4 linked regions of the Notamacropus eugenii genome follow. The protein of the gene in region 4 interacts with the protein of the main gene of each other region in a biochemical or structural test. Links are inferred from orthologs where the notes say so. Each region holds a gene or a part of one and is shown on either strand. Other genes may lie near its edges.

Region 1 (7,546 bases), about 380 Mb from region 4:
CTGCATATCATGATTTAATTAGTTACTTCCGCAGATAAAGCCCAATTTCTGACTGCTTGATTTTTCAGGGCTAACAAAGGCTTGGTTTTTTTCTTTTTCTTAATGGCTTCAAATTTCTTCTGATGTCAAATATATGCATACATATACATACACACAGAGAGAAATCTGTAAATTGGGCAGGACAATTTTTGCTATGTCTCACTAAGTAGTTTTTTCTTCTTCTCAGGAACCACTATCCCTCATGCTTCATGATTCTCAACCAGATGAGGCTGCTTAGTACACCAGTTCCTGTTTTCTTTCCCAATGGCTGTCCCCAAGTCAACAGCTCCTAGGCTTCTATTTTCCTGGCCATCTTCCTCCATTCTCTGGCTCCCATTGCAAATTCAACTGGGGAAGAGGACAACTGAGGGCAGTGCACCTGGTAAATGTAGAGATCTAGTTGGTGCAACCCTTAGGGACAATCCAGTCTTCATTTTACAGAAGAGGAACCTGAGATCACACAGGATTAGAACTCAGGTCCTCTCACTTCATTCTTTCCATTACACTGAACTGAATATATTACATATTATTATCTATAACAATACAATATATAAATATAATGTATAATATGTGTTACATATGTATGTATGTATATATACACATCTATATGTATCCTGGTTGAGAGGTTGATATATGGACTTCCCATTAACAGGAAATGTTATATATCACTCTGACATTGACCATAGCCCTCCCCATCTCCTGTTTGGTTAGGGATTTAAACAGTGTTGTTTTGGAATGTATATTATGACACCCTCTGCCGGGGAAGAAAACCCTGCTGGAGGAAATATCCTCCAGCCACTCATCACCGCACCAGAAGCACCCGAATTCAGTCTGCCCCCTGGTGCGAATTTCCTAGCCAGGGCTCTAACAATTGGGAAAAATCGCACACATCAATATACTCAGTGACTCCATCAAGACTCACGATGTCCCCGTGTGCCAGACTCCTTTGATATTCCATCCCCTAGAACCCTGAATCACTTTGGCATTTGTCATTAAAGTTTTCAACGACCTGAGAGGGATTCTTGTCCTCCGAGGATCACCCTGATTAGAAAACTGTCATGCACAGAAAGCAGCGGACCCGCCTCTATCGATTGCTACTCCGCTCGCCTGATCAATGTTTTTCTCTTTCTGGAGAGCGGCTGACCAACCTCAGAGCAGCGGCAAGCCTGTGTTCGTTCACTCAGGGCAGGTAAAAGTGTGCATAGTAGCTCTCCAAAAAAGACCTACAAGCGTGAAGCCAACACACACACACACACACACACACACACACACACACACACACACACACACACACACACACACACACACACACACACACACACACACACCACTTGTAAAACAGCAAAGAGTGAGCAGCTTGCTCGCCTTTAAGCGGTTTAGAACAAGAGATAAACCCCACCATTCCTTCTATCTAAGACATGCCCCGTGCACGCACAAGTCTCTTAACAGTCTACACTGTACTAATTTTTGAAACAAACAAAGAAAATCTGGTAGGCGAAGAAAGGGGGTTCACTCTTCTTTGGTTTAGGAATTGGGCAGTCAGAGCAGTGGGAAACGTTGGGGTGCTTAGCATCCCCAGCCGACCCCCCCCCCCCCCCGGAGGCAGCAACCCCCAAGGAGCTGGGTGGGGAAAGTCTGAGTCCGCTTTCCCCTCTACTCTCCGGGACTCTGGGCATCCTAGGACCCCAGGGGAGGTTGGCTTCGCTGCCCAAGGACGCTCTCTCCTTTTCCCACGTCTGCCCCGGGGAAGACAGATCGAGCGATGGCTCGGCTCTGGGAAATAAGCAGCCGCCTCCCCCAAACAAGTGGCACGCCTGCGAAAAGGCAGACGGGCACGGCTCCAGGTATATCGGCGCCCACATGCGAGGATCAGGACCGAGACTCCTCGGGGCAAGGGATGGGGAAAGGGGCGCTGAGGCCAGCTGGCCACCACCGGCAGATGGAAACTCACCCGAGGAAACCGAGGAGCCAGACAAACTGGAGTTGCTGGACGCTGCCATCACCCCCTCGCTGGATTTCCCCCCTTGTCGCCCCTTCTTAGGTTCTGGTCCAGATGTGGCTGCTGCCGTTGGTGCTGCTGCTGCCTCCGCGGTCCTGGCGCTGCTGCTGCTGCTGCTGCTGCCGCCGCCGCTGCCCCCAGCCCATGGCAAAGTGCTGGGGACGCAGAGCGCAGAGCGGCGGTCTCCTCCCAGCCTCCCTCGCCAGCGCCGCGTCCTCCCCCCCTCCCCCCTCGGGACGGGGCTGCACTTCCTGCTTCGCCAGATGACGCGCCTCCAACGCCGCTATTTAAGTGAGCTTTCCTCCCCTCGCAGCTCCGCTTCGCGCGGCTCTGGGCGGCCCGCGGGAGGTGCCAGCGGAGCCGAGCGGAGCCACGAAGAGCCGGGGAGCGAGGTAGGCGGGCGGGCGGGCAACGTAGCCCGGGCGCTGCAGGTCCTCCTCCCGCGGCAGTCCCAGCCGCAGCCCCAGCCCCAGCTCCGGCTTGAGTTTCTCTGGAGATGGGTCCCAAGCTCGGGTGGAGAGCCGAGCCCTGGTTCCCTCGGTGCCCGCCTCCTCTCCAGTTAGCACCAGGAGAAGGAGGTGACACTCACCCCCTACACACACACACACACACACACACACACACACACACACACACACACACACACGCAGACACACCGACCGACCCGGACAGACAGAAAGGAGGCTCAGCCCCCTCCCCCTCGTCCCGCCTCCTCCACTCCACGCGCCCACACAAAGGAACAGGGAAGGAGCGGCCGCGGCCGCGGCGGCGATGCCAGGCGGCTGCTAGCTAAACAACTCTCCGGGCTGCAGCCCGAGGCGGCGCGGGCTTGAAAGGAGAGGCTGGGCCCGAAGGAGTCGAGATAGGTGCGAGCCCTTCGGGCCGAGCCCTCATTACCTCAGCCCCGCCGCCGCAGGGCACTCGGGGGCCCAGGGCAGAGCAGCTCTAGCGCTGCTAGATGCTTGGTGTCCAGGTGAGTCCGACGTCCTCCAGGGAGCCTGGGACCCGAGTCCGGCTGCTCCAGTGGGCACGATTCTGCCCCACGTTCCTTGCCCAGGTGGAGGCTATCTCCACGCCTCATCAGCGCCAGGACTCAGCCCTGGGTTGAAAGGGCGGATAGAGTGCGGCTGCCCCAGGTCAGTCCAACCCAGTACAACTCTCCAAGGGGGCTCCACGATCTGCATCCTGCGCCCCCATCCCGAATACGGGCGTTGTGTTTGGGTGAAGCGGGCGTGAGTCCGGGGCTGATCTAGCCCGATGTTCTAAAACGGGCTCTCCCTTTTTGGCATTATGTATTCATTCCTTGGACATTTCGTCTGGTGAGACCTGAGAAAGACTTCTCAGAACCATGATTTCAAATACACTAAATAAAATATGTAGGATTCCAAAGGAGGACAATCATATAGAGATACACCTATAATCTGTTTCTAAACTAAATTCACATACCGAGAATGAGAACTCGAGGCTTAAAGGGAGGCACCAATAGTGGCAGACATCAGAACCCCGCGAACCCCGGGCCAGACCAGGGTCAAACCGGCGCAAAGACGAGAGCCGCTTCCCTGGGTTTCCATAATGTCCAGCATTCCAAAGAGAGGTTCCCGAGCCTCAAGGACAAACTCGGGGTCAGGCAGCCTAGAGCACAACCGCCTGTGGGTCTGATCTGGAGCATCATTCTAAAGCGAGGCTTCCAAGAGCCGGGGCCACCACTGAAGCCTTCTCCCTGGGAAAGGGGAGCTGAGGAAGGCGCGGTCCCGGAAGGCTGAAGGCAAGGCAGAAGGGAGCGCGCTGGCTACCTGCTGGGGGAGCGGTGTGTCCTGACCTTCCACTCCCACCCCCGACCCTGGGCCCCGATTGTCCTTGGGCTTGATGGCTCGCGCACCCCCACGGCGCAACCACTCCTGGTGGCCAGTCTAGCCGGAGCCCCAGCTGGACCAATCCTCCCACCCCACCTGTGCCTAGGACCGCTAGGGAGGTTGGATTTCTAAGAAGCAAGAGAGATTGAAACATCATGAACCAAACAAAGCCCAGACGTCAAAAGGCGTTAGGGGTGGGGGTGGGGGGCTTTCCAGCAGCGCGTTAAATAAACCCTCTCGCTAAGTAAGACTTAGCAGCAGGCCAGTGGGTGTCCTTGCAGGTTGAGGAACTGTTGAGGTGGGAGAGAAAAAAACACCTAAAGATAAGGGCTTCGCCATTCCGCTGTATTTAAAGCGAAATCAATTTCACTGGAAGGGAATATCACGCAGGTTCTAAAAACCCAAACCTATTTCATGCTCCCAGCAGGGCAACCTGTTCATTTAGAAGGAAAGAGCAGGCAAAACTGTGAAATTTGAACAGAAATTGTTAGATCAAAGGAAAAGTAGACATTAAAGGAATGGATGTGGTCTCATTATATGCCCAAATGGAAAGTGGTACGCTGGGCTAGTGCCATTTTTTAAAAACACGGTTAAAGGGACACAGTTAATTTATAAATTATCTAGAGACATATGAACACTAACCAAATCCTGCCAGGTTCCAAGATCTGTCAGCGCCTCACAGACTGTGTGTGCATAATAAATGCTAAATAATTGCAGCCTGCTTGTCTCTCTCTTTTATAAGGCTGATTTAAGCTAAAGCTTGTCTGTCTGTGTATGTGTTTAATTTCACACTCGTTTTCATTTAACAACTGGGCTTGAAATTGAAATCCAGCTGTGTGAGTGCTTAGGTCATCTGTTTCAGATGGGTAGCTGGTGTAGCAGAACATTGTTTTTAGAATCAAAACTGAGGTTGTGGTGGCTCCGGGTAGAGTGCAGGCCTGGAGTCAGGAGAACTTGAGTTCAAATCCAGACTCAGACACTAGTTGTGTATGACCCTGGGTAAGTCATTTAACCCTGTTTGCCTCAGTATCTTTACCAAGAAACCCTGATTTGGGTTCATGAAAAGTGGGACGCACTAATTTAGAGTCAAAACTTAGTCAGCCCTCTGGCACAAAGTCAGAAAGCCTTGAGTTCAAATCCCTCCTCCACCACCTGTCAGAAGCATCTCCTCATCTATGAAATGCAGGTGTGGTGGGGGTGGGGAGAATAATACACCTACCTCACCAGTAAGCTTATTATTAGAAGAATTGGGTTCACCATCCTGGTTCTCTTGTGAACTACCTGCATGTGACCTTAGGAAAGTCACTCACCTTTCTGGAGGAAACTGTGGTTTCCACATCTACAAAATGAGGAGGTTCATTCTTTTTGGTAGCAGTTAGTGCCTTCTTCTTTGTAAATCGGTTTGCCTGTTTGCCTTTTCAATCAGAAAGAAGGAGCTAGAGACAGGGAGAGAATTTGGAATCATTTTTAAAATGAATATTAACTTAAAAAGTGTAATTGGGAAATGTTTAACAAAGTAAAAACCACAACACAACAGCGACAAAGTACTTGTTCACTAATGGCATGGCACATTTCACATGGGTAGCTCACCAACCTGTGGGTAATTTCTACCAAAAATAATGAACCTCCTCATAAGATACATGGAGGTAGATAGATAGATAGATAGATAGATAGATAGATAGATAGATAGATAGATAGATAGATAGATAGATAGATGGATGGATGGATGGACGGATGGGTAGATGCATAGATATAATGAGGTGAGTACTAGAGATTTTATTATCCCCATTTTGAAGATGAAGAAAATGAGGCTCAGAGAGTTTACATAACTTGTCTATGATCACACAGCAGATGTCAGAGGAAGGATTCAAAGTTAGTTCCCTCCTAATTCCTAAGTGCAATGATTTTTCCATTACACTACCTTTAAGAAGACAAAGTCAAGGAATAGGGAAGTGGTCCACAAAGTCTACCAACACATTTTTATTAGATAGATATTAGCTATGTGCCTAATACATAGATGGGACAACTAGGTGGTGCAGTGGGTAGAGAGCTGGGACTGGAGTCAGAAAGACCTAAATTCAAATCCAACCTCAGACACTTAGTAGTTGTGTGACCCTGGGCAAGTCACTTAACCTGTTTGCCTTAATCCACTGGACAGAAAAATGGCAAACCACTCCAGTATCCTTATCAAGAAAACCCTATAGACAGTGTGCTCCACAGGGTCACAAGAGTAGCACACAACTGAACAACAATGTGCCTGGCAGCTTGATGTAGTGGCTAGAAAGCTGGGCCTACTTGGGTTCAATATGCCCTCTGGCACAGATTGACTGTATGCTATGGGCAAGTCCATGAGTTTCTATACCCTAGGTAGCTAAGAGTAAAAATTGAAAAAATGAATTGACAGAGGAAGTTTGTTCACCTGTAAGTTCTCTATTTGAAAGAAATCATAGTTCTAACCTCAGTCCTTCTTTCTACATTTCAGGTGCTGTGCTAGACAAAATGAAAAAGTCTCTGCCCTGAAGGAGTTCAGATTCTATTGGGAGAAACAAAGTATGTGCACATACATATATATACAGGACTCAAACAAAGCAAGCACAAGGTGACCTCAGAATAAGGAAGCACTCTCAGATGGAGATGCCAAGAAAGGCCTTCTCCACAAGGTGTTGATGGAGCTGAATTATTTAATCTTGCCTCAGATGCTGGGTGGCAAGTCACAACCACAATAACTTTCATTTCATCTGTAGAATGAGTACAATGATAGTACCCAGCTAAAAGAATCCATGTGAGGCTATGAAGAAAATACTAACTAATACTTCTCCTCCTTCTACCCCACTTCTTCATCAGTATGATAGCTATTTTGTCAATTCCTGGAAGGGCAGCTGTTCCTAAGGAAGCACTTCTGTCCACCAGGTAACAGAAGGTATTGAGCAATGGAGGGTCCCAGGCCCTAGTTTTTCTCTGAGTAAAAAAGGATTCAAAGGGTAAAGAACACAAACTTACCTTTGGTTTGTAGGTGTAGGCTTTGGACAGGGGGTGGATAATGAGGATTTCTCTACTTCCTCTCAAGCAGAACACTGGACACCATGTGCTATTTTACTTCCTGTAACAGACTTGATTTACAATTATTTTGTAATTTAAAAGCAAAAGAAAACCCAAGGGAGAAAATGTGAATCTGGAGGTTGAGTCAGTGACCCTTAGAGGGAAGGAGCATTTTACGCATTGTGGCAAAGTTCTGTCCCTGTTCTGGGCATCAAAAACAACAAACTTTCAAGAATAGCTCAGTGGCCACCTTTCACCAGCATTTCTACAGGACTGACAAGTGTATAAGGTGTTTTACCTTCATGAACTCATGTGATCCTCACAACAAGCCTAGGAGACAAGTTCCTCTACGCTGCCTCTCAATGGACTGACCCATCTGTAAATCTGCAGATTTCCCCCAGTAAAAAGGTGGGGCATTAGAAGGCAGTGCAGATCAGGAGACAGGGAATCTGGGATCAAATCTCAGTTCTGCTGCTAACTACCTGGGTGACCATAGGCAGGTTTCTTTAGCCCTAATTTCTTTTTCTACAGCATAACTGGGTGGGTTGTATTGCTTGGCCTCTCAACCCCTCCCACATCTACCTCAGGTTACTCACTTGGTAGGTTTCATGGGTAG
Region 2 (7,982 bases), on a different chromosome or scaffold from region 4:
GGCAACTCTGTGTGTTCAAAGGGTCTTTAGGTCCTGGATGGGAAACAAGGGAAGCTTCTGCATCAGAGATCTGTTGATAAGCTGGGGCCTTAGTCTGACCATTTTACTAGTAGGCATATACAGGGAGTTCTTTGGAAAGTGCAGAATCCAGGTGAAATGAAAAATGCCTAATCAGAAATCCCACAAACTGTTTTATGTTTGATGAGGTTTAAATAGCAACCTCTTAGAAAATTCTAACAGTTCTAAGTTATTACTGAATCTTGTTTTAAGTTTATTTCTATCAAAGGTGTGCTTGTGAAGGTTCTGTGTTTAGCATTCTCTTTATGTGTAGGAAATCAATACCAATCCCAAACCTGATTCATAAGGTACATTCGGTATTTTTCCTTTTGGGGAATTCCTAGACAGGAGGCTAAACCAAAATTTTAAATAATTCATCCCCAGGAGCATTAGGGTAAGGGTTTAATTATCCCAAAAATCTGAGAACAGGGAGTCTAGTCTTCCTCTCATTAGTCTGTCCAACTAACATTAACTGTCTATCATGTATCGAGCACTATGCTGAGCTAAGGATACAAATAAAGGCAAAACAACTAGTCCCTGCTCTCAAGGAGCTCACAGTTTAATGGAGGAGACAACATGTAAAAGATTTTGTACAAACTATATACAGGACACATTGGGGTGATCTCAGAATGAAAAGCTTAATGCAGAAGGTTTAACTTTAGCTGAGACTTGAGGGAAGCCAGGAAAGCTGGAAGTTAAGAGATGAGAAGGGAGAGGGTTCTAGCCAGTGAAAACCCTGAATCAGGATAGGGAGTGTCCTGTGAAAAGATCAATAAGGACATCAGTGTCACTCTATTGGAGAGTATTGGAGACTAAAGCGTAGGAAAACTGGAAAAGATAGGAGCCAGGTTATGAAGAGCTTTGAAAGCCAAACAAGATTTAATAGTTGATCCCAGAGGTAAGAGGGAGCCACTAGAGTTTATTAAAATTTTAGGGGGAGGAAAGTAGCCAGACATGCATTTTAGGAAGATCTATTTAATAGCTGAGTGGAAGACAGACTGGAGACAGGGAAACCAACCAAAGGCTACTGTAGAAATAGCCCATGTGTGATGTGATACAGGCTTGTACTAAGGTAGGTGCAAAGTTAGAGGAGAGAGAGGACCTATAGTTAAGATGTTATGAAGGTAGAAACAATAGTCAACATTTCTTAAGCATCTAGTATGTGCCATACATGTGCTAAGCTATGGGGGATACAAATATAGAAAAAGGCAACTCTTGCCCTCAAGGAGTTTCCCATCTAACAGGGGAAGACAACATACAAAAGAAAGCTGAAGGGGGTTTCAGAGAGGAGGTACCTGGCCCAGGGGCATGGTGAAAAGTCAAAGAAGACCAAAATGAATGCCATAGAATGGGAATGAAGAAATATCTGTGAGGTCTGACTTGTTCCTTTTCCTTAAATGGAGGAGTTTATACCTCCACCCTCCAATCAGAGGGGCAGAAGGTACTGATGAGGTATGAGTAGAAATGATTGAACTTAACTGTACTTGGGAAGACAGAAAGTGAGAAGCTGAGAATGACAGGTTGTATGCCTGGGAGAATGGTGGTCTTCTCAACAGGGAGTAAAGAAGTTTGGAAGATGGAGAAAGAAAATGGTGTGAAAGATAATGAGTTTGGTTTTGGACATGTTTTGTTTAAGATGTTTACTGGACACTCAGTTTGAGATGTCTAAAAGGCGAGTAAAGGTAAAAGCTGGAGTTCAGGGGAGAGGTTAGGACTGGACAAATAAGATCTGAAAGTCATCTGCATAGAGATGATAACTGAAATAATGGAAGTGAATGAGACTGATAAATGAAATAATATAGAGGGAGAAGAAGGGGGATAGCCATTGTTAGCAGGCATGACCTGGCTGAAGATCCAGCAAAAGAGACAAAGGAGTGGTCAGGCTTGTAGGAGAATCAGGAGAAAGCAATGTCAGAAAAACCAACAAATTAACAATATCAGAGGCTACAGAGAAGTAAAAAATGATGAAGACTGAGAAAAGGTGATTCGATTTGGCAATTAAGAGATCACTGGTAACTTTGGAGAAAGCAGTTTTGGTTGAATAATGAGTCAGAAGCCAGATTGCAGAAGGTTAAGGAAAGTGAGAGAAAAGGAAGTGGAGGCACTGGTTGTAGATTGCTTTTTCAAGTTTGGCCACAGAAATGAGGAGGGTTATATAGCTACCAAGGATGGACAGTACAAGTGGCGGGGTTTTTTTTAAGCTGGCAGAGACATGGGCATATTTATAGGTAATAGGGAAGTAGACAACAGACTGGGGGCAAATGAAGATTAATGAGAGGGGGCAATCTGCTGGAGAAGACTGGGTGGAATGGAATTAGCCCCAAAGGCAAGTGGGCTCAATTAGGAAAGATCCCTTGCTGCAGTTGAGATCATGCAACATAAACTTTTAGTGGACCTAGTTAGCAAAGTTTCTTGATTTTTCTCTGACTTCATTCAGTAATGCCTTTAGTAGGAACAAAGGCAGTGAGTGCTGGGAGTAATCCAAGGCTGGAATATGAGAAGACAAACTCCATAATCAGGGTTAATCAGCAAGGGACTGGAGAAGATAGGGTAAAGTTAAACTGGTTCCTAAGGAGGACTAGGTAGGGAAGGAAAGAGAGTATAAGTGCAAGGATGATGGTCAGGGAAAAAACTGAAGGTTTTGGAGGTCAAAATAAGAACAAAGAACAGAGCTTAGAATTGTAAGGCAGAGGGAGAGGTGGGATGAGAACACACTGATCAGATAAAGGGATTTCACAATTTATGAACATAGATATGAAACACTTGTGGATGATGACAAGATCAAAGGTATGACCATCTCTGTATGTAGCTCTGGTATAAACCTAACTATCCTCCCATTGACCTAGATCTGACTGTGTGTCTGGGTCAGGAGCAGAGGGACCCTTTAGTGGAGAAGAGTGAGGATAGTATCTGGTTCTTCAATGTCAGACTGGCATAAAAATAAAAGGAAACATTCAACTTTTTAAAAAAGTTCAATAAAATAATCACTGGTGAAATTGGAAGACAGATTGAAAGTCAAATTCTAGAACCACATTCATGTTTCAGAAGAATGCAAAGACAAAAATCTGAAAGATGACAGAAGAATAACACACAGACGCTAGTGTCTCTAGAATTTTAAGTAACATTCAACTTTTTGGTAGTCTTTAAATATGAATTAGAATTAAATTTAGCTTAAAAGTCACTGTCTACTCAGTTAATAAGCATTAAGCCCTTACTGGCAGACATTATGCTGTCCTAAATGCACCTGTCCTCTTATTATTAATATATTATAATTAATAATATTATTATTCTCTTATAGAGAAACCCTAGCGGGGTTATTTGGGTGCTTAAACACAGCGTGGAACATCTCCACAGCAAAGTGGAAGTCATCTGGTAAACTGTGGTATATAATATTTAGATGGGTTCCAGGGTGGGGAGGGGGACAGCCACAGCCAGGGCTCCTAGAAACCTGGCATCTTTAAGAACTCTGACATTTAGATTCACAGATCAAACATGATTTTAATGCACTTATATTCTAATTTACTACATATAGACAATGTACTTGTTTCAACTCCCCTACTATAACTGGAAGCTACTGTACCTTATTTCACCTTCATATCTTATCAAGTGCCTATCTAGTATGGAAATTTCGTCCACTCCATACAGGTAACTAGCATGTAACTTTTTGTCTTACAGTTGCCCGGTGGCACCGACAGGAGAAATCACTTTAGCCAGGACAGAACTTGAACCAAGGTGTTCCTAACTAGGCAGTTAGTTTTCTGTCCAGCATAAGAAGATGCCTCTGTATATAGCAGGGAGCTCATTAAATGTTCGCTAAATAAAATGATTCATCAGCTACTGACAGATAAGCTAGGTGATGAAATGGATAGGACCTTGGACACGGGAGTCCGGAGGACCAGAATGCAGTTCCAATCCTGCCCCAGACATTTACTAGTTGTTACTTTGTATAAATCACTTACACTCGCTCCGCCTGTTTCCTCACGTGTAAAATGGGGATGCTAAGAGCAGACCTCGCGGTACGTGAGCAGCAGATGTGATGATAAATGTGAAGTGCTCTGCAAGCTTCTGGGAGCTAGACGCTAGCTGTCATGGTCATTAAAGCGCTCTATAAGTATTACTAATAAAACGCTCTACAAATGCTATTATTATTATTATCATACAAGGCTAACTTAAGCGACTTTCCTCAACTGACGGAAAGGCGGGGGAGGGAAAGGGGAGGCTCCCGCGGGGGTGCCTGATTCGCAGACGCCTCCCCTGCCCTCCCCCCAACTGGAGGGCATCACATGCCTAGCTCGACTCTGGGGCATCCCCTGGTTTCCATGGAGACAGGGAAGGGAGTCTGGCCCTCCGGCCCAGCCGGATTCACCCCACGGGCTGTTCTCTGGGAACAGCACAGGCCTCAGGCCCGGCACCGGAAACCCTACCGGGCACGCACAGACACCCCCAAACCGGGGCCAACCGGGAATGCCTCAGAAGTCTCAGTCGCCGCCAACCTCGGCAAGATGGCCGGGCGCAGGCTACTCTCTTTCCTCCAGAGCATTTCTCTATGGTCCTGGCCCGCTTCAGCACCTTCCCTTCCCCCTCCCTCCCCGTGGGTGGGTGGGTGGGTGGGTGGAGGCTGAGGAAGGCCTCCTTCACCTCCTAGCGCCTCAGCCTACTGGGGGAAGGGACAAGTGGTGTGGGCGCTTGCGCAGACCCAGGCCGCCCGCCCGCCCGCTCGCTTGCTTGCTACCGCTTAGAGGCTGGCGAGCGGAAGTCGCGTGACCCCGGAAGCGACTGGAGGGGGCGCGCGGGCGGGGTGGAGCCGGCCCACTCGGTTCGTCGTTAGTGCGGGAGGGAGCGCGAGAGGCGGCGGACGCGTCGAACTCGTCGGTGAGTGAGTGACCGGGCTCCGGGGAGTCCACCCTTCATCCCGGAGCCGCTGCTGCTCTTCCGGACCTCCCCGGGAGGGCGGGACGAGGAAGGGAGAGCCGCCGCCACCGGCTGGAGGGGAGGGACGTCAGGGTGGAGCCGTCGCCGCGGCCGCTGCAGCCTCTGCTGCTGCCTTTGTTCTGCCGCCCCCAGCCTGGGCGCGACGTCTCCGCCCGGAGTCCGGGGTCTGGGGTGGAGGGCCTCGGGGAACTCTGTCCCCAGCCCCGCTGGGAGGCGGCGGCGGCGAAGGCTCTCTGCACCCAGGGACCAGGGGTATCCGCCCGGGCGGAGGCCGCGGGAGGGGCAGCGCAGCCGCCGGGAACGGGGGAGGTGACAGCTGCTCGGGGCTTCCTGCTGGCCCCCTGGCAAGGTGGGGGAGTACGGGAGGGGGAAGCTGCCCACCCATCCCCGCCCCTTCCTCAGCACATCCCTTCCGGCAGAGCCCCTTAGAGGGAAGAGGCTGAGATGAAGCCCAGGCAGGCAGAAAGAGCCAGGAGCTGGCCAGAGGCACAGATGGCGTCCAAGGTGAGCCGCGCCCACGTGGAGAGGAGAGGAGAGGAGAGGGGGCAGCCAGAGGCAGGGACAGGGAGGTCCAGGCTCGGAGGAGCAAGCCCCGGCTCCTGGCAGGCAGCAAGTGGGGCGAGGCGGCGTGCCGAGATTGACAGCCCTTGGAATGGAGGGAGCTCGAGGAGCCCGGGGGGTAAGCCAAAGAGGAAGTGACCCTGGAGGCCATGGAGACTTGGCCCTTGGGATCATGTTTAGAAATCAGTCTTTCCTTTCTGCGCCCCACATTTGGTCTTTTAAAAAAAATCCCCTTTTTTTCGGAGCCACCCACACTCTAACGGCATCCTAGTGAAACTGGCTGCACTATAGGGGGGAGGAAAAAAAAACCAGTAGATGTCAAAGAGCTCCTCCCATTCCTCTGAGCCCCTTGAGGGCAGGGGACTGCCTTTTCCCTCTCTTGGTATCCCCTGCGCTTAGCACCGTGCCATACCACTACTCTGGAGGGGGCCTTCACATGTTTATTGACTGATTGAAAAGAGCTTTGGCTCTCAGTTCCCTCATTTTTTTTAAAAGAGGTAGTTCGACTAGATCTGGGCTTTCTAAACCTTTTTTGTTTGTTTCATGAACCCCTTTGACAATCTGGTGAAACCTGCGGACCCCTTCCCAGAAGAAAGCTAAATTTCAGTTAGTGAAAATAAAAATGAATTTTTCTCCCCACTCAAATTCGTGCATTCCCCCCTCTCATCCCAGATTAAGGACCTTTGGATTAGATGGTTTCTTTGGTCCTTTTCTGCTTTAATACTTTATGAGTCTAAATACTGTCTGTGATTATATCTCCTGTTTCTAAGGAAATATACTACAGGTTGGATTCTTAATATTAAATAATTTCTGGACTGCTTGATTTCTTTTACCTTTGGTTCTAAATTTATGCCTCTAGGGATGTTGGGAACTGCTTAAAATTCATCCTGTTCCCATTCCTAAGCCTGTTTTCTGTGATTGCTTAATTTATCAATATTTAGGGAAATAGAGTTATGGGCTCTTATTCTGGGCCCTGAATCTCGGGGTTATTCTAGGAACTTCATTCTCTTCCCAAATTGTTCTCAGACTGAGGATGATGACCTAGGATCTAACCCTATTTGGGCTTCTGATTTTACATAAGAGCCACATCTCCTGTTACTTAGATGATTTCTGCAAATCCAAATGCAACATGAATGGATTGTGGTTTCATGGTGATGCTATTGAGGGATTGGGATGGAAGGGCAAGGAGAAATTTTAAATCAATAAGCATTTATTAAACAACTGTGAGGTGCCTCACATTGCTAGATACTGATGTTACAAAGACAAAAAAAGGAAACTTCTGCCTTTGAGGAGGAGCTTAAGGTTCAATCAGGGGAAACCAAATATGCACCTAAAAGTCTATATTGAATTACTTTATATAAGGTAAAGGTGGTATGAAAGGCCTCATGAGGGAGGGCTTGGAAGGGAGAGAGGCATTCTAAGAGGATCCACCACGCATGGAACAGCCTGTTCCAAAGCATTGAGGCAAGAATTGGAAAGTTGTATGTACAGGGAATAATAAATATCAAGTAGGTCAGTTTGACTTGGACCATAAATTGTTTGAAGGGAAGTAATATGTGATAAGTCTAGAAAGATGTGTTGAAGCCAGGTTGTAAAGGGCTTTAAATCTCCATACAAAAGAATGTTCAGTTTTATCCTAGTGGAAGTAGGGAGCCTCTGGACTTCTTGAAAAGGGTAGTGACAGGGGCAGGTTCTACTTTAAGAATATCCATTTAGCAGGTTTTTGGCTTCCTGGATGTAGAGCAGAGACTGGAGGCAAGGAGACCAATTAAGAGGCTATTCAGTTAATCAAGCAAGCATTTTGTAATTCCCTGTTATGTATCAGGCACTGTGGAATGCAAATAAAATAAATGAAATAATGCCTCTTCATAAGGTGGTTATGGTGTGGTGAACCCAGATACCTGATAGTTGAGGGATGGAAAACTTCGATGGAAATGGTGGTGCTTGAGCTGGGTCTCAAATAAAGAGGTTCTTTCAGTTGGAGGTAAGGAAGGATTGCATTCCAAGTATGAGGAACAGTCAGTGCAAACAAGGTATGCTGTACATGGGAGATGGAAGTGTCACTTATGAGGAACAGAGGAAAAAGGACAGTTTGGTTGGATCTCAGAGTTTGAGACAGGATATTATGTCTTACAAGGCTGAAAAGATATGATAGGGCCAGGTTGTGAAAAGCAGACAGAAAACCTTTAGTAATCCAGGCAAGAAATAGTGAAAGCTTGAACTACTCTGATGTACTGTTATGTGTAGAGAGAAGAGTATAGATGTGAGAGATGCCATAGAACTGGCGTGGGGAACCTGTGGCCTTCTAGGGCCTTAAGTGCAGCCCTTTAACTGAATCCAAATTCACAGAACAAATCCCCTTAATCAAAAGATTTGTTCTGTAAAACTTGGACTCAGTCAAAAGGCTATACCCAAGGACCTAGAAGGCCACA
Region 3 (7,726 bases), on a different chromosome or scaffold from region 4:
AAATTAAAAGAATGTCCTCCTATTCTATTTCTCCCTCATCCCATTACTAGCTCAAAACAGGACAAATGAGCATAATGGAAGAAACACACCAGCAAATGCTTTACCTAATTAAAGACATCTGAGAATGCTTAGCCAGCCTTAAAACTTTCCTGAATAATGAGTGCCCTTCCCCAAAGCTAATAGTTTTAAATTGTGAATTGCTAGTGTTGAGCTACAAAACTGCTTAAATATTTGTTGTTAAAATTATTTTGGTGAAGCAGGGTATAGTGGCAAGGATTCAGATCCTTTAAATTTTAAAGAAAACAAGCACAGACTGCATGCCCCTCCCCCTTGTCTATCATCTCAACATTTGAGATGCAGTGAAATTCAGATTTTTTTCATTTTAAAGGAAAAATTATTCCATCTCATAGTCTACTTTCAAGCGAATCAGAATTGTATGCACTACAGCATATGCTATTTGATATGTACAGCAATATTTTTTAAATGAATAACTTTGTATAAGAAAAGAAGTAGATTTATAATTCCTCTGACATCCCTCTTGATTAGGAGAACTTTTCAAAACTGAGGTTCTACCCCTAGAAAGTCTTTTTTGAACCATGGATATTTCTTAGTTTATAATTTCATCATATATGATGACAGGATGATCTTACACTATAATCTCTGAAAATGAGAAAATAATACTCAATTAAAGTGATTGTTCAATGACTTTAGAGGGCTGGGTCTCAATATTAGCATTCATTTTGATACTTTTTATTTGAGACTTCTATAAGCCTAACTTATAACCCTCTACTTTTTTTCAATAGATGAGGTGATCTCTGAAGTTTTTAAAGAATACCTTTCCATAATCTAAAGAGAAATATTAACTCGAAACCACTGATTACCAAAATTTACTAGTTAAAATAACTCTAGAGGCCTATATATAATAGTATACATTTCTAGAAAACTGTGTTTGCTATCAACACAAAAGATTAAGTTCCTTAAAGTATTGCTTTTAGAACCTATAACAAATATTTTCTGTCCATAATTCTGCTAATTTATCATTTAGTTTCAGTACTTCTCATCTGGTTTTTATTACCAGAGATACTGATATCTAAATGATAACAAAGTCTTTGGGGTTTCTGAAAAGTTAGTTCCTACTCCTTTTTTCCTATCTTAAATCACAATTCTATTATGACATTAGGATCATTTACAAGCAAAACATTTTTATTTCAAGGTCAGGCAGAATAGGATGAACTCATTTAAAAAAAAAAAAAGAGGGGTCATTTTTTACGAAGTTGTTCCCTAGCAAGAAAAATATGAAAGCATGTGATATGGTTCATCTTTGGATCCCCCAAGTACTTGTAATAGTGAGCGCTTTTCTATATTGTAAGTGCCCCATAAATATTTTCTGATTCTCATAATCTGCTATCAATAAAGAAGATTTGTCTTTTAAAATGAAAGAAAAAGGACATATTCAAACTTATTGGTGAGTTCTGTAACAATGTATCTTTCTATAATATTTGACTATAAACGACTTGTGTTGTATTATGATTAAAGTGCTACTTCATTATTTGGAATGGCTAATATATAGTATACAAATATTAAAAATATATAATTCATTCTTTTCCAGACATCATTCTAATTCTGAAGTGTTCAAATTTAGATATTCAACCTTTTTATAATCATTATTCACTAGTTTTAATGCTGTTTCACAGAAGAAAAAAATTGGAAGTAGAATTTGACATTTAAAAGAGGGAGCATCCTTTGTGCAGTCCTTTGCACCGGATCCTCCCTTTTCTCATCTTCCTGTCCAGCATGAAGATAAACTTTAGGCTCTCAAAGATAAGCAGGTCAAAGTTCGCACATATGTTCCTCTGAATGAGTGAGTGTGCAGCTTATTGGCTGCAGACATTATGAGTAACAGGGTCTCTAGGGCTAGATCAGTTCTGCTCGGATCCAAGGTCTAAATCTGGGAATAAAATTCAAGCATCTTAAACCAATACTCACACGTTTAGGGGTTTTAACTGAAGGGATCCCAAGATCCTTCAGACTACAGGAGGAATTCTTGCTACATCGAAGTAATTAACCAGCTTTTGTTGCGTGCACGCGGGGGAGAATTACAAAGTAACCAGTGCGTTTAGACCCCCTCCTTCTTCTTCCCCCTCCCCCCAAAAAGAGAAAAGTTGAACTGTTGAGCGTGACCGAAGGTTTGGTCCCGAGAGTGGCACTTCGGGAGACGGTGCCGCATCCAAACGGGTTTTTCCGGTGGGGTCACGGAACTGGAGCCCCCTCGACTTTTTATAACGTCTGAGAAGCAGAAGTCATGGCCAGTCTGCGCGGGGGGACTCTGGTTCCCTCCCAAAGCCGGAGCGGTGGGCGGCGGTGGCAGAGGACAGAGGACGGACGCATGGCTAGGTCTGGACGCCGCCGCGCCTCCTCGGGCTCCGGGTGCCCCCGCCGCCGCCTCGGAAGCCCCTCGGCTCGCTCCGGGCCCGGCCCCCCCCGCCCCCTCCCCACGTCCCCCACACAATGGCGCCTTTGGAGCTCCCGCTCCCCGGGTCTGGGGGAGCGCTGCTCACCCCGCAGAAGCCGCACGCCGCTTTCCGCGCTGACCCGGCTCTCCGAGGGAGATCAGCGCACAAAGGAAAGTGCGTAGGGCGAAGTCCCCAGACCGGGCGGGCTGGCCGGGAGGCAGGCAGAGCGCCCCGGGGCAGCGCGGCCCCTCTGGCCGCTTCCCCGCACGCCCCAGCAGCCCCGAGGTTAGGTCATTGTGCCCGAGCACATTCAAAGGCGTTTCCCGGCTTCGGCAGAGGTGGTCGAGCCTTGGAAGGGAGAGGAAGGGGCGGGGGGTGGAGAGAAAATGGGGTGTGTAGATGTGTGTGTGCCCTCCGGTGAAACACACCATCCGGCCAGGGCTGGCACGATCAGTTCTGTGGAGGAGAGCAGGGGGTGGGGGTAGGCAGGGTGGGGTGCGGTGGGGTGGGGTGCGGTGGGGGGAGCGCGGTGGAAGGCGTGGAGAGGAGATATTGCACTTACTTTCTCTATGGTCCCAGGGAGCAGGCGGTCCAGCAGCCTGCAGAGGACCACCCCATCTTTCAGAGACGACTGCAAAAAGCCCTCCGGGTCCGAAATGGTTTTTTTGGGCGACTCCAGCACCCCCAAGGTAATCAGCCACGTAACGGTCTGTTCGGCGGAATTCATAGCTGCCGGAGGAAGAGGAATCCGCAGGGAAAAGGGAGAGAATTGCCCACGGAGCCGCCTCTCTCCCCCCGCCCCCCCGCCGCCTCTCTTTTTTTTGGATCCCCCCCTTTTGGCTTGTGGTTTCACATTGGAGCAGCGGCGGCTGGAGCTGCTGATCCCTCCTCCTCCTCCTCCTCCTTCCCCATGTAGATGCAGATGATGACGATTGGCTTTGCGAAATCCAGCAGGTCCAGTTTCTCCCTCTCTCCCTCTCGTGCGTTTTGGCAGACTGTCAAGTGCCTTTTCATTATATGCACATGAACCTGCATCAGCAGCAGCCACAGCCGGGCGCCTCCTCCTCCTCCTCCGAGCCTTCCTTCAGCTGCTGTCGCCCAATGACATCACTGACAGGAGGAGAAGAAAAGACGCCGTTTGCCACCAGCTCCACATCCTGTCATCGTCTTAGCGTGTTCTAGCCATGAGCACGGGCCCTAGCAGAGGCGCCCGGGGGGCGAGGCTGGGGTATCCGAGGCGTGCTGGCGTTCCAGCACGACCCACAGATACAAAGACGTGTCTCCAGAGCCAGTCTGCAAAGGTTTATCCAGCAGCTGACGTCCTGGACCAAGTGCCAGTGTAGAATGTGGTCGTGGGATAGAGGAATTCACAGATCTAGACGCTAAATATCTTTAGTTGGTCAGGTGTATATCATGTAAAGTCTTTTTTTGGGTATAGTGTGTCTGTACCATCTCAGCCAAGGAAGCACCGTCTGAAAGAAGTCCCTTTGACCTCTAGAGAAACTAGTTCATTTTCAGTCGCGGGTGGCAGCCTTTTATCCTCGAACTGTACAAGTGCGAGGTGCCCATGTGCACTTTCCTTTATACAATATGTTAACCATTTGCGCTTCTGCCTGGGCAATTTTAAGGAGACACCATCTGGAAGAATCTTCCTTTACTCCTTTCATTCTCTGTCCTTATGCCTCACTCCTTTGCTTAAAAAGACTTACGGTTTTTCGATTTTTATAATGTGTTGTTAAAAAAAAAAAAACCAACCACCCAAAGTTTCCCATAATGCTCCCTCCTCCTTTTATTTATGACAATTTTATTTTTTTTTTAAATGTGAGTGGTGAGGAAGGGGGCCCCAAATACGTGGCATTCTCCTCACTGTTACAAATCAACAATCACGTAATATACTTTTTTTTGCCATGTCCATGGGTCTAAATTGGGCAGGAGTGGGTTTTCAATAATGCTGTGTGTCCCTGTGAACGTGAACTGCAATCTAACTCAGTACAGCTTGAGTCTTGTGTGTCCCCTAGTGGAGGGTTGGTTAATGTGGCTTGCTGGCAATTAGTGGCCCCTTCTAGAGGTTTGGGTGAGGACAGAATATCTAGTAGAAACTTGGTAGTTATTCCATTTTAAATGGAGATATTCGATCCAAAAATCTAGGGGAAAAATCAGAAATGGTATTACACAGAGACATAAGGAAGACTTATTTTGTATTTAATCAATATTGGGTTTGATTGATTTCTTAAGTTGGTTTGGGAGGAATGTCACAGTTAGATCCAGTCAATTTTTTTCTACAAAGAACTTTAAGAGTAGACATGGGGCATACAGCCCATGGTTAGCATGTGGGAGCATGGTGGGGATGGTCAGTTAGGAACTGGTATCATTTTTCTTTCTTTCCTAGCCTTAGCTTCAAAACATGCTGTGTAAATGAAAAAAAAAAAGACTTATTTAAGAAAAAGAAAGAAATGGCTAATGATATTTACACATTTCTTTCATCTCCATACGGTTCACAGGAGAAATCAAGTCTTTTATTGAAATAGAATATGCTGGCTAAAGCATTGGCTTTCCTTTGCTACATTTATTTCCACTCATTATGTCTACAGTCTGCCAATGTTTTCCTTGTTTGCTTTTTTTGTGACTTTCCATAATGATAGTTTATGGAAAGGACTGGAAAGCTATATAAGATTTTTAAATATCCAAAAGAACTTTACAATGCTCTCCCCTACCTCAACTTCTGCTTTCATTCAGTACTCCACTGTTGTAGGCAATTAATACCATTCTTCCTATGTTTTCTGGTTCAACTTTACTGCCTCTATTTCCTCTTCATTATTTTAATATTCATTCACATTTGTATGTAAATACTCAAAATAATGCCAGAAGCAGCTTGATTTTTTGGACAAAAATGGCAATAAATACCATATTGTTTTCATATCAAGGCATCGAATCTGTTTTTATGTCCCTATAATTATACAGAGAGGCAGTATGTCATAGTGAATGCAGAATTGGCCCCCAAACCAGAAAGGCCTGAGTTCAAGAAGTCCTACCTTTGGTCCATCTAGGTTATTCAACCTTGGGCAAATCATTTAACCTTTCAGTACTGTAAACAGTTCTCAGACGACAAGCCACAGAGACAGTCACAACCTGAATTGGTAGACGGAATTTCTTCATCTGGAAATTCCCTATTCTAATGAAATCAATCAGTCACCTAGTATTTTTTAAGCATCTGCTGTATTCCAGGCTCTAAATGATGGGAATACGAAGAAAGGCAAAATGTAGTCCCTGCTCTCAAGAAACTTACAGTCTTGTGGGAATGGGGGAGAAAGCATGCAAACAGCCATGTACAAATGATGGATACAGAATAAGTTGCAGATAACCAACAGAGAGAAGGCACTAGCATTAAGGTCCACTTCTTATCCTCATGATTATGCTAAATAAACATAAATTATGCTGCTTTCCTTATATGATGACCAAGAAAAGGGAGGTAAATATCTGGTCCAAGAGTTTTAACCAAATGCTAATTATCAGTATTATTAACCTAAGCTAAGATTTCCAGAAAAATCTTTCCCTCCTCCCTTGTATTTACTACTATTAAGATGATCCACAGAAGGAATTTAGAATAATATCAATACATTTGCAGATAATGTTGTTCCTTGGGGCCTGGGGAGGGTTCTAGATGCTTAAGTTACCATAAAGTGGGAAAAGCTGTGAGCATGGGACTGTCATCCAAGGACCAGCCTAGGTTAAGATCAAAGAGCCTCATTGCCAGAAAGTTAACCACCAAGTGATGGAGGGCAGGTGAGGGGTAGTGCCAAGGGCAAATCTTGACATATCTACTAAGGCAAGAGATGGTGGGAATATCCATTAAATCAAAAATCTTTTGAAGTTCCTAAGAATTGATCAAGCAGAGCTGCTAATACTCAGAAGGACAGGAATAAAATTTAAAATGTCTTGATAAAATGGTTATTATTTGGACTTTTAAATTATGATGTATTTCAAATAGAATAAGTAATGGAGCTTTCATTAAGACAAAAATAAAATATCATCAACTATGACTTAGTAGATAGTAGATATTTTAGGCTTCATAGATAAGTCCTAGAGAGGTATGGAGGTTCATTAAATTGCCTACAGTCATGCAGCTGCTATGATGATCTTTAAGGTACATTCTAACTCTAAATTTATGACTTACAATTATCAAAGGTAAGATTCAAACCCAGACCTTTTTTGGCTGCAAGTCCACTATGCCATTCACTAGGCTATGTTGCCTGTCAACCAAGTTGGGGGAAGATTGGGTAGCAGGAAAATGTCCACCTAGCGCTAGGATATAACAAAGTGACTGTGCAAGGAGCAGGAAAAAAAATCTATCCGGTGAACTATGAATTAATCAATATTGTAACCAGTTGAGGTAACAACACTTCAAAAGATATATAAAAGAGTGTCAAAAGAAAAACAGCAAAATAATCAATGGAATAAAATTAAGATTTTAAATAAAAAGGTTGAAAGAATTAAAGTTGTCAAGGGAAGGAAAATCCTTTCGAATCCTTCAGGTATTTGGAAGGTGTTTCTAATGTAGAGAACACTGAAAATTTGCTTCCTATATCTGAGTAAGATCAAACAAGAAGACCAAATAAGTCTAATTTAAAATAGGACAGGCAAGATTCAGCTCTAAGAACCAGAATTTTAACTGGTTATGGGAAAGTATATTTTGGATAGTAACAATACTAATACTAAAATGCAAATGTAAAAAGAACTTTAGGGAGAAATTTCCCCACAACAACTCTGAGAAAAGTTTTGTGAATATTCTTACCCCCATTTTTAAGAAGAGGAAATGAAGGTTCCATGTGAATGTGAGTTTGGATTGGACAAAGAACCTAATCTAGTGGTGTTTGTGTAGTGAAGAGGTATGGCATGGGTACAAATAGTTATTATACAAAATCCATGAAACATTCAAGAAAAAAACAGCAGTAAGCAAACTATGCGTAATTCAAGGGAAAAGGTCAACATGAGATCAGGACAGACTTCTCCTAAGAAGTGATATTTGAGTTCAGCTTTAAAAAACAGGAAAAAAATATGGAGCCAGGGCATTCCAGGCATAGTAAGAAACTGGAGCAAAAGTATGATATCGACCAGCCTTGAATAAATATGCATGTATGTATGCATGTATACATGTATATCTCTGTGCATATATGTGTATAATAATTTTGTTGGGTTTTGGTCATTTCTGTCATATTCAACTCTTTGTGACCCCATTTGGAGTTTTCTTGGCAAAGAATTTGCCATTTACTTCT
Region 4 (7,810 bases):
TACAAGACTTGCTCTTAAAAGTAGTAAAAGTGATCTGAATGGGGAAATTATCAAGATGACATTTCTAAAAAGCATTCCTGTTTTATTTCTATGCCACCTAGCCCTAATCAATCAAGATTACAAAAAAATAATAAACTATAGAGTAAGTTCTTTGAGGGGAATACAAATTCCTAACATCTATACAGTACTTTGCATATATTATTTAATGTGATCCTTAGCAACAATACTGTGAAGTAGGTAGTATTATTGTCCATATTACAAACAGATAAACTGAAGCTAAGGGGTGGGGTAAGTTGAGTGACCTGCCCTGGGTCTAAGACAGGAAGTGAACTCAGGTCTTCCAATCTATCCAGGGCAGTAGTGACTGGTCTTTTACATTTTTACTTTTATATCTCCTATGTCTAGCAATATAGCTCATGTAACTGGCATTCCATATTTTATTTCATAAACAAAATCAATAAAAGTATTACTGTTAGATTTAAATAAACTAAACTGATCTAAAACCTCTAGTTTTAATTTTTAGAGTATCTTAAATTATTTCCTCCTCTAGTAAAATGCTGCTCTGATACCTAATCTTGGCATGGAAGTAATGCTGGGTTTTCAAGGGCTACGCCAGGGAAGGCAAGCTCTGGCAAGCGAAGTTTCAAGTAACAGGCCTATCGAGGAACTTCGAGTTGTACAAGAGTTTTTCTAATTAATTTCATAGAGGTTGGAGGCTCATTACCAGAAAGCTGATTGATCACTAGATTTTTGTGGTCTCAGCAAACTTAGGACGACTTTTAAAGAATGAAGGAATTGTATTCTATTTTGATAGAAGGAGCACATCACAAATCTTTTGAAGTCAAGTTACTCATTATGACTAAATGTGGAACTGACCAGGGGTAGTTGGTTAAATAAAAAAAAATGCCATGTATTAATTTGTCACAAGAAACTTGTTCTCAACAGTAAAGAAAAATGAAACTGAATAGGCTAAAAAAACTTTGCAAGATTAATTCAAATTTCTTAACTAGTTAATCACAGGAGGACCCCAACCTCATGATTAAGATAAATTTATTTTATTTTCCACACCCACTTACTCAACATGTTTTCCAGAACTAATTGTTTTCCTTCAAAAGGTTAAACTTATCTTACCAATGTACAAGTTCCTAGTTCTACCATTTTAATATTTGACTAGGAACTCCTTCAGAATATTGCTTTAAAATTTTATTATCATAAAAATTCACGAGCCTTTCGATTTTTGTATTTCAATCAGACATCTTAAGCCAGTTCAAGAATCTAAATTTCAAATAGAAAGCTAGGTATTAATAAAACCATCACTAACAGAGGCACAAAGTCAAAACCCAAATATAGATCTCAAAAAAACTCACTAAGCTAGCAGTAATTAATTATTGGAGAGTATTATTAAGCAACAAAAACATTCAAACACAACACTGGAAAATGTATTCATTTGTTGCAGAAATTTCATGAGGCTAATAGCATTTTTCAGGAGTCCTGACCAACTCTAAATTGCACAAGCAATACTGTGATACACAATTTTGTTCAGATTACACTGGAATATTTGTTTCTTGGGGGGGGGGAGTTGAGGGGGAAAATAAATCGCATAAGGCAAGTCTTGTCTTCCCATAAACCCAGCAACACTACAAACTGTAATGAAATGATATGCCTTGAGTCACAGGGATCAATTTTTTCCTCAGGAAGCTTGTTCTACTGCATCCCATTGGGCTAAAATCAGTTTTCTGGACATCTTACTGTGTTCAAAATAAATTCACTCTCATCTTCTTTACCACAAGTACATTAAGAGTTTACCGAAAGAACAGCAAAAACCAAGGCTTCCTTGAAGCAAAAACTACTTAAGTACAGGAACTGAGACTACAAAAACCCTGTATATAAAATTTTAGACCACCTAATAGATCAATCACCTTCACTGCAGTCTGCTAACCCTAAAACATTATCAACCTTAACGACAGTTATATTTTTAAAGTACTCACCTAGCTCTCAATAAGCTACTTCGATTTAGGAAATGGAGTTATTATAAATCACCAGAAACACACTTTAAAAGAAAAATAATTTTCTACCTAACCTACAAGGGAGGGCGGAAGGCAGGCATTCTGATTCAGAGGTTCATCTCATGAACTTTAAGTTCTGCCTAAATCCAAACTGGGTTTTTGAATTGAGCAAAAGGGTGGAGCCCACTTTTTCCCTTTGGGTTGGGTAAATCAATCCCTCGCTTCCAAAAAAAAAAAAAAAAAAAGAGGGCAGGACCCCGGAGCACAAACTAACACCATCCCAGGCACAAGAAGTGGGAGAGGCTGGCGGCCTCTCCCACCCAGCCCTCGGGGAAGGCAGTGAGAACAGTGTCCGGGCGGGGGAGGAGGAGGGGCTCAAGAGAACCCCCCCAACTTGAGGACGGGATCCTTAGAGGCCGAGCCTAACCCCAAGGGCCCAGGCCCCACCGGGAGTCCGACCCCGGGACGGTCCACAGCCGCCCCACCCCGGGGTATCTCCAACGCTGGCCCGGCCCAAGCGATCCAGCCGCCACCCTACAGGAAGCCCCTCCGCGGGCGGCCGGACACCCCGACCTCGGGCTCGCGAAGCGGGGCGCCCGCCGTTCCGCCCCACCCCGGACACCCGGCGGACCCCGCCCCCGCACGCCCCCCAGGGTACCCCCCCACCCCCCGGCGGAGGTCGAGCCCGCGCCCCCCGAGAGCAGGAAGCCGCGCGGGAGGACGAGGGGAAGGCTGCGGGCGGGGGTGGGGGGAAGGGGACTTACCCGTCTCCTACCACCACACACTTGATGGCCTGCATCGGGGCGGCTCGCGGGGCTGCCGCGGAGGCGGCGGCGGCGGAGGTGGAGGCGGCGGCTGCCGGGGCTGCCCGGGAGCAGAAGGGGAGGACCGCCGGGCTCCGGGCGGGATGGGCTCCTGACAAGGCGGGGGAAGGCCCCGGGAGCGGCGGTACGTGGAGAGAGGGGGGACGGGGACCGCAGTCCACGCCGCCTCGCCCCTTAGCCGACTAGAAGGCGATCTCAGGCAGCAGCCACCACCCAAAGCTGGAGGAAAACTGCAGAGAAACAGGAAATGGCCGCTCCACTCACATCCGGCCTCCCCTCCCCCTGCTCCTTCCCCGCCGTCGCGGCCGCCGCCGCGGCCGCTCCCTTCGCCCTCCCCATCTGGGCGGGGCCAGCCCCTCTCTACTTTCCTTCTCCCTCTCGCTTCCGCTCTTTCCGGCCCGAGCCCCGCCTCCAATTCCAGGTCCCGTTTCGGAAATGCTCGGAAACGCTCGCCTCCCGCGCGACTGGAGATTCGCGCGCGGCCTCGTCCCGGCGCGGGCGGGGGCGCGCGGCTGACGGGAGGAGGTTGGGGGTGGGGAAAGGGAGAAGACGGGCCGCCATGTTTGTGCTACTGACCTAGTCAGAACTTGTTCCCCGGCAGGACCGCGGGACTGGAGGGAAAAAAGGACCGCTTGCGCCCGCGCCCCTGATTCCCGTAGACCTCGGGTCTTCCCTGCTTGTTTTTTTGTTTTGCCTTTTCTCGTTTCCCCCTTTTCCCGCGGGTCAGAGTTTTGGGAATGAGAGGGCGGAGGCCGAGCGAGCTGAGGTTGGATTACTGCCGTACCCTCCTTTAGGCGCGGGAGCAGGTATTTCTGACAGAGAGTTAGGGGCTGTAGCTTTGGGGTGAGCGGCCTGATTCCACCCCGACTGCCAGAAAGTTACTTAACAAACCCCCCCGGCCTCAGTTTCCTCATCTGTAAAAGCAGGTTGAGCCGGGCGGGCCCCAGGGCTCGGTCCTAGAAGCGGGCTCCGTGACTGGGGGACAAGCGGGTACAATGGGTAGGTAACAGGCCGAGGAACGTGGAAGGCAGCGCGCTTCCCGGGACTGCCGGGGCCGGCGAGCGGGGAGGCTGAGAGACGGGCACCATGCCGGGTACAGGGTCACTGGTAACGGACTGGGAAGAGGCGCCGTGCTGGCACCCCGGCCATCCCGCCCTGGGGGGGAGTTGGATTGGAATTATCTCCCGCCTCCAAACTCGTGGCTGCCCAGTCAAACTTGTGGGAGCTTACCTGCCGGCGGCGCCCCCCTCCCCCCACTTCCTCCCAATGGGATGGATCCCCTGCTGGGATCGGACTTTAACGTGCCTAGAGGTACTCCTCAAACACTGGAACTTCCCAGCCCCTCCGTGCCACCTCAGCTGGGCACGGAGGTGGGGATACCCTCGAGTGCTCCGCCTGCGTGGTTATCCGATAATGATCTTCTAAGTTATTCTTTATTTCCCTCTGGCTTATCTAAACCTGTTCCTTGGCTTCACTGTGACTTCTAATCCCTTCCAGGGGTGGGGACCACCCCTAGATCCTTGGGGGAGACCTTTTGACTGAGTCCCAGTTGTAGAGAACAAATTTAATTTATTTGATTTGATTTATTTTATTAAGGGGATGTGTTCTGTGAAGTTTGGATTCAGTCAAAGGGCTGAACTTGAGGTTCCCCACCCCAGATTTAAACCATTCCTTTGCCCCTTTATCTTATCACTGTTTCCTACATGGCCAAGACCCAGCTTGGGATCAGTTCTATTGTCTGCTACTTGTACTTACTCAAGTGTTGGCAAACAAAGCTGGAGAAAATCACAACTGTGCTGACTGGGTGTACTGCAGATTTGTGTGACTTAATCTCAAATGGTCCTCCGCTGAGTGAGATATCCCCTTTACACCTTCCTGATCACTGCTGCTAGGCACTCTTACTTTACCTTCCTTATCAATTCACTATCTCACTCCCCACTGTTACTCTTCCAAACCTTTCCATCTCTTGTCAAACCTCCATGGCCCCCTCTGCCCCCACTCTCTCAGCTTTGAAACTTTCTTTATATTTTACAGAAAAAATTGAGGCCCTTAAACATGAGCTCCCTCTTTTCCCCTCTCCCTCATCTCTTTTCCATTGGGTACCTTCTTCCTCTCTCTCCTCCTTCATTTCTGTCCCACATTTAAGGCTTTAGTCCTTACCAAGGCTAACCCCTCTACTTGTTCAAGTGATCCCATTCCATTCTGTCTCTTCCAATAGATTTCCCCTCTATCATCCCTGCCCCATCACTTATTTTCAGCCTCTGTCTACTGGCTCATTCCCTACTGTCTACAAATATTCCTGTGTCTCTCCTGGCCTGAAAAGGATCCAGTTGATCCTTCCATCTCTGCTAACTTTCATCCTATATCTCTTCTGCCCTTTGTAGCCAAATTCCTCATAAAGTCCATCTATAATAGGTGTGTCCACTTTCTGTCTTCTCACTCCCTTCTTAACACCTTATAATCTAGCTTCTGGCCTCATTATTCCTCTGAAACTGCTCACTACAAAATTGTCAGTGATCTCTTAATTGCTAAATCCAAAGTCCTCTTCTCAACCTCATTCTCCTTGACCTCTCTGCAGCCTTTGACACTATTAATCACCCTTTACTCCTTGAGTATATACTCTGTTTTACGTAGGTTTTCTCTCTCTTGGTTCTCCTCCTACCTGTCAGATCACTCCTTTGTCTTATTTGCTGGCTTCTCATCCAGATCAAGCCTTCAAACTGTAGGTATCCCTCAGGGTTCTGTCCTGGGCCCTCTTCTTTTCTCCCTCTATACTTTTTCACTTGGTGATGTCAATTAACTGTCATGGAATAATTACCAAATCTATGCTGATGATTTGCAAATCTACCCATCCTGCCCCAGTGTCTGCTGACTACCAGTCTCACATCTCCAGATATCTCTCAGACATCTTAAACTTGATGTCCAGTAGATATCTTAAACACATATCCAAAACAGAACTTACTATCTTTCTCCCTAAAACCTCACCTGCTGCTACCTTCCCTATTACTCAAGAGGACAACACTATTCTCCCAGTTCCTCAGGTTCAAAACCTAGGGCAACCTAGGTGTCATCCTTAATTCCTCACTATCTTTTATACAACTCCCCCCATGCCATTTTTAATCTGTTGCCAAGACCTGTTGATTTCACCTTTGCAACATCTCTTGTATATATATTCTTCTTTCCTCTGATACTGCCCCCACTTTAGTTCAGGTCTCATTATCTCATGTGTGGTCTACTGGAATAGCCTGCTAGTGAGTTTACCTTCCTTAAGTCTCTTCTTACTGCAATCCATCCTCCTCTATTCAACCACCAAAATGATTCTCCTAAAGCACAGGTCCGATTATGTTACTCCCTTCCTCCACTCAACAAAATCCGATGGCTCCCTTATTGCCTCCATGACCAAGTATAAAATGCTCTGTTTGGCATTCAAAGTCCTTTATAACCTAGTTTCATATACCTTATTCCCCAACATGTACTTGTCAATACAGTGACACTGGCCTTCTGACTCTTCCACAAACAAGACACCTCCAGCTCCAGGCATTTTCTTTGGCTGTCTTCCATGCCTCCTCCACTTCTGCCTACTGATTTCTCTGGCTTCCTTTAAGTCCCAGTTAAAATCTCATCGTTTACAGAAAGCCTTTCCCAACCTCTCTTAATTTTAATGCCTTCTCTTTTTTAATTATTTCCTGTTGGTCCTTTATGAAGCTTGTTTGTATAAGTTTGCATATTGTCTTCTTAATTAAATTGTGAGGACAGAAACTGACTTTTGCCTCTTTTTTCATCCCCAGTACATACATCCCCTTATGTACTGGCACATAGTAGGTACTTAATAAATATTGCTTGCTTGCTTAATGAGAGAAGACCCTTAAGCAAGATGAAATGTAAATTTGGGCAATAGCTAGTAGCCTGGTTTGGTAGGAAATTAAGGATATGAAAGAGAATAGTATAGAATAAGGCTGAAAAGGTAGATGAGAGCCAGATTGTGAAGGAATTTAAATGCTGAGAAGTTCTTATTTTATTCTAGAAACAAAAATCAGGAGCTGTTGAAGATTTTTTTGAGCAGGGGAATGATACAGACAGACTTATGTTTTGGGAATGTTAATTTGTCCACAAATGCTATGGTGAATGCATTGGAGAGAGGAAAGGCTAGAAGAAGGAATACTGGTTAGGAAGTCATTGCAGTAGTAGTATAAGACAAGTAATGAGAGCCCAAACCTGGACCGTGGCTGTGAATAGAAAGAAAGGGATGTATGTAAGAGATATTGTAGAGGTAGAATCCACACAACTGCAAAAGGCATGGAAGCTAACTGGGCTCATTGATTTTTTGTGTTTGTTTTTTCATCATTCTCTTTTTATCCAATAAAGCTACCATTCTAATTAAAAGAATTTGGAAAAAAAAATCAGGGCAGCTATACTGCACAGTGGATAGAGTGCTGGGTCTACAGTCAGGAAGATTCATCTTCCTGAGTTCAAATCTGGCCTCAGACAACTTACTAGCTATATGACTCTGGGCAAGTTGCTTAACCCTGTTTCAGATTCTTCATCTGCAAAATGAGCTGGAGAAAGAAATGACAAGCTACTCCAATATCTCTTCCATGAACATTTCTAATGGAGTCAGGATGAATCAGACACAACTGAAGAACAACTGAACAGCAACAAGATAGTTTCTGAAACAAAATGAACCAGGTATTAAGCAGTCTCTCTACTGGGTGATAGAGTTAGCAAGAGTGAAACAATCTACTTGCAATGAACTTTTGTTCTTTTTCAAAAATTCAGTTTTATTTTATTTTAAGTTCCAAATTCTCTCCCTCACTCCTCCTCTTCCTTAGTCGTTTAGGAAACAAGAACAAATAGAATTCATTACAAATATGTATAGACGTACAAAACAATTTTCTGCCTTAGCCACGTTCTGACTGACATGTCCCCCCCCAAAAAAAGAAATATGAGTTTACATTCTAATGGGAGAAATAATACCTACAT

The links.
Region 1: the proteins of RAC1 (region 4) and CHN2 form a complex in vitro, tested with the Homo sapiens proteins (2 studies listed by BioGRID). The link is inferred for Notamacropus eugenii from reciprocal best matches to the Homo sapiens genes RAC1 and CHN2.
Region 2: the proteins of RAC1 (region 4) and ARHGDIA are reported together in a solved structure, tested with the Homo sapiens proteins (2 studies listed by BioGRID and IntAct, with this or other methods). The link is inferred for Notamacropus eugenii from reciprocal best matches to the Homo sapiens genes RAC1 and ARHGDIA.
Region 3: the proteins of RAC1 (region 4) and ARHGEF7 form a complex in vitro, tested with the Homo sapiens proteins (2 studies listed by IntAct). The link is inferred for Notamacropus eugenii from reciprocal best matches to the Homo sapiens genes RAC1 and ARHGEF7.

What each region holds. Positions count from the first base shown.
Region 1 is NC_092874.1:20,083,882-20,091,427, reverse strand, and holds the start of CHN2 (beta-chimaerin), read right to left. Parts: upstream 3,083-7,546; 5' UTR 2,936-3,082; intron 2,194-2,935; 5' UTR 2,040-2,193; coding exon 1,991-2,039; intron 1-1,990.
Region 2 is NC_092873.1:325,952,317-325,960,298, reverse strand, and holds the start of ARHGDIA (rho GDP-dissociation inhibitor 1), read left to right. Parts: upstream 1-4,825; 5' UTR 4,826-4,929; intron 4,930-5,408; exon of another isoform or gene 5,409-5,493; intron 5,494-7,982. UniProt on the Homo sapiens protein: Controls Rho proteins homeostasis. Regulates the GDP/GTP exchange reaction of the Rho proteins by inhibiting the dissociation of GDP from them, and the subsequent binding of GTP to them.
Region 3 is NC_092877.1:211,258,949-211,266,674, forward strand, and holds the start of ARHGEF7 (rho guanine nucleotide exchange factor 7), read right to left. Parts: upstream 3,253-7,726; 5' UTR 3,181-3,252; coding exon 3,016-3,180; intron 2,792-3,015; exon of another isoform or gene 2,642-2,791; intron 1-2,641. UniProt on the Homo sapiens protein: Acts as a RAC1 guanine nucleotide exchange factor (GEF) and can induce membrane ruffling. Functions in cell migration, attachment and cell spreading. Promotes targeting of RAC1 to focal adhesions. May function as a positive regulator of apoptosis.
Region 4 is NC_092874.1:396,153,938-396,161,747, reverse strand, and holds the start of RAC1 (ras-related C3 botulinum toxin substrate 1), read right to left. Parts: upstream 3,114-7,810; 5' UTR 2,806-3,113; coding exon 2,771-2,805; intron 1-2,770. UniProt on the Homo sapiens protein: Plasma membrane-associated small GTPase which cycles between active GTP-bound and inactive GDP-bound states.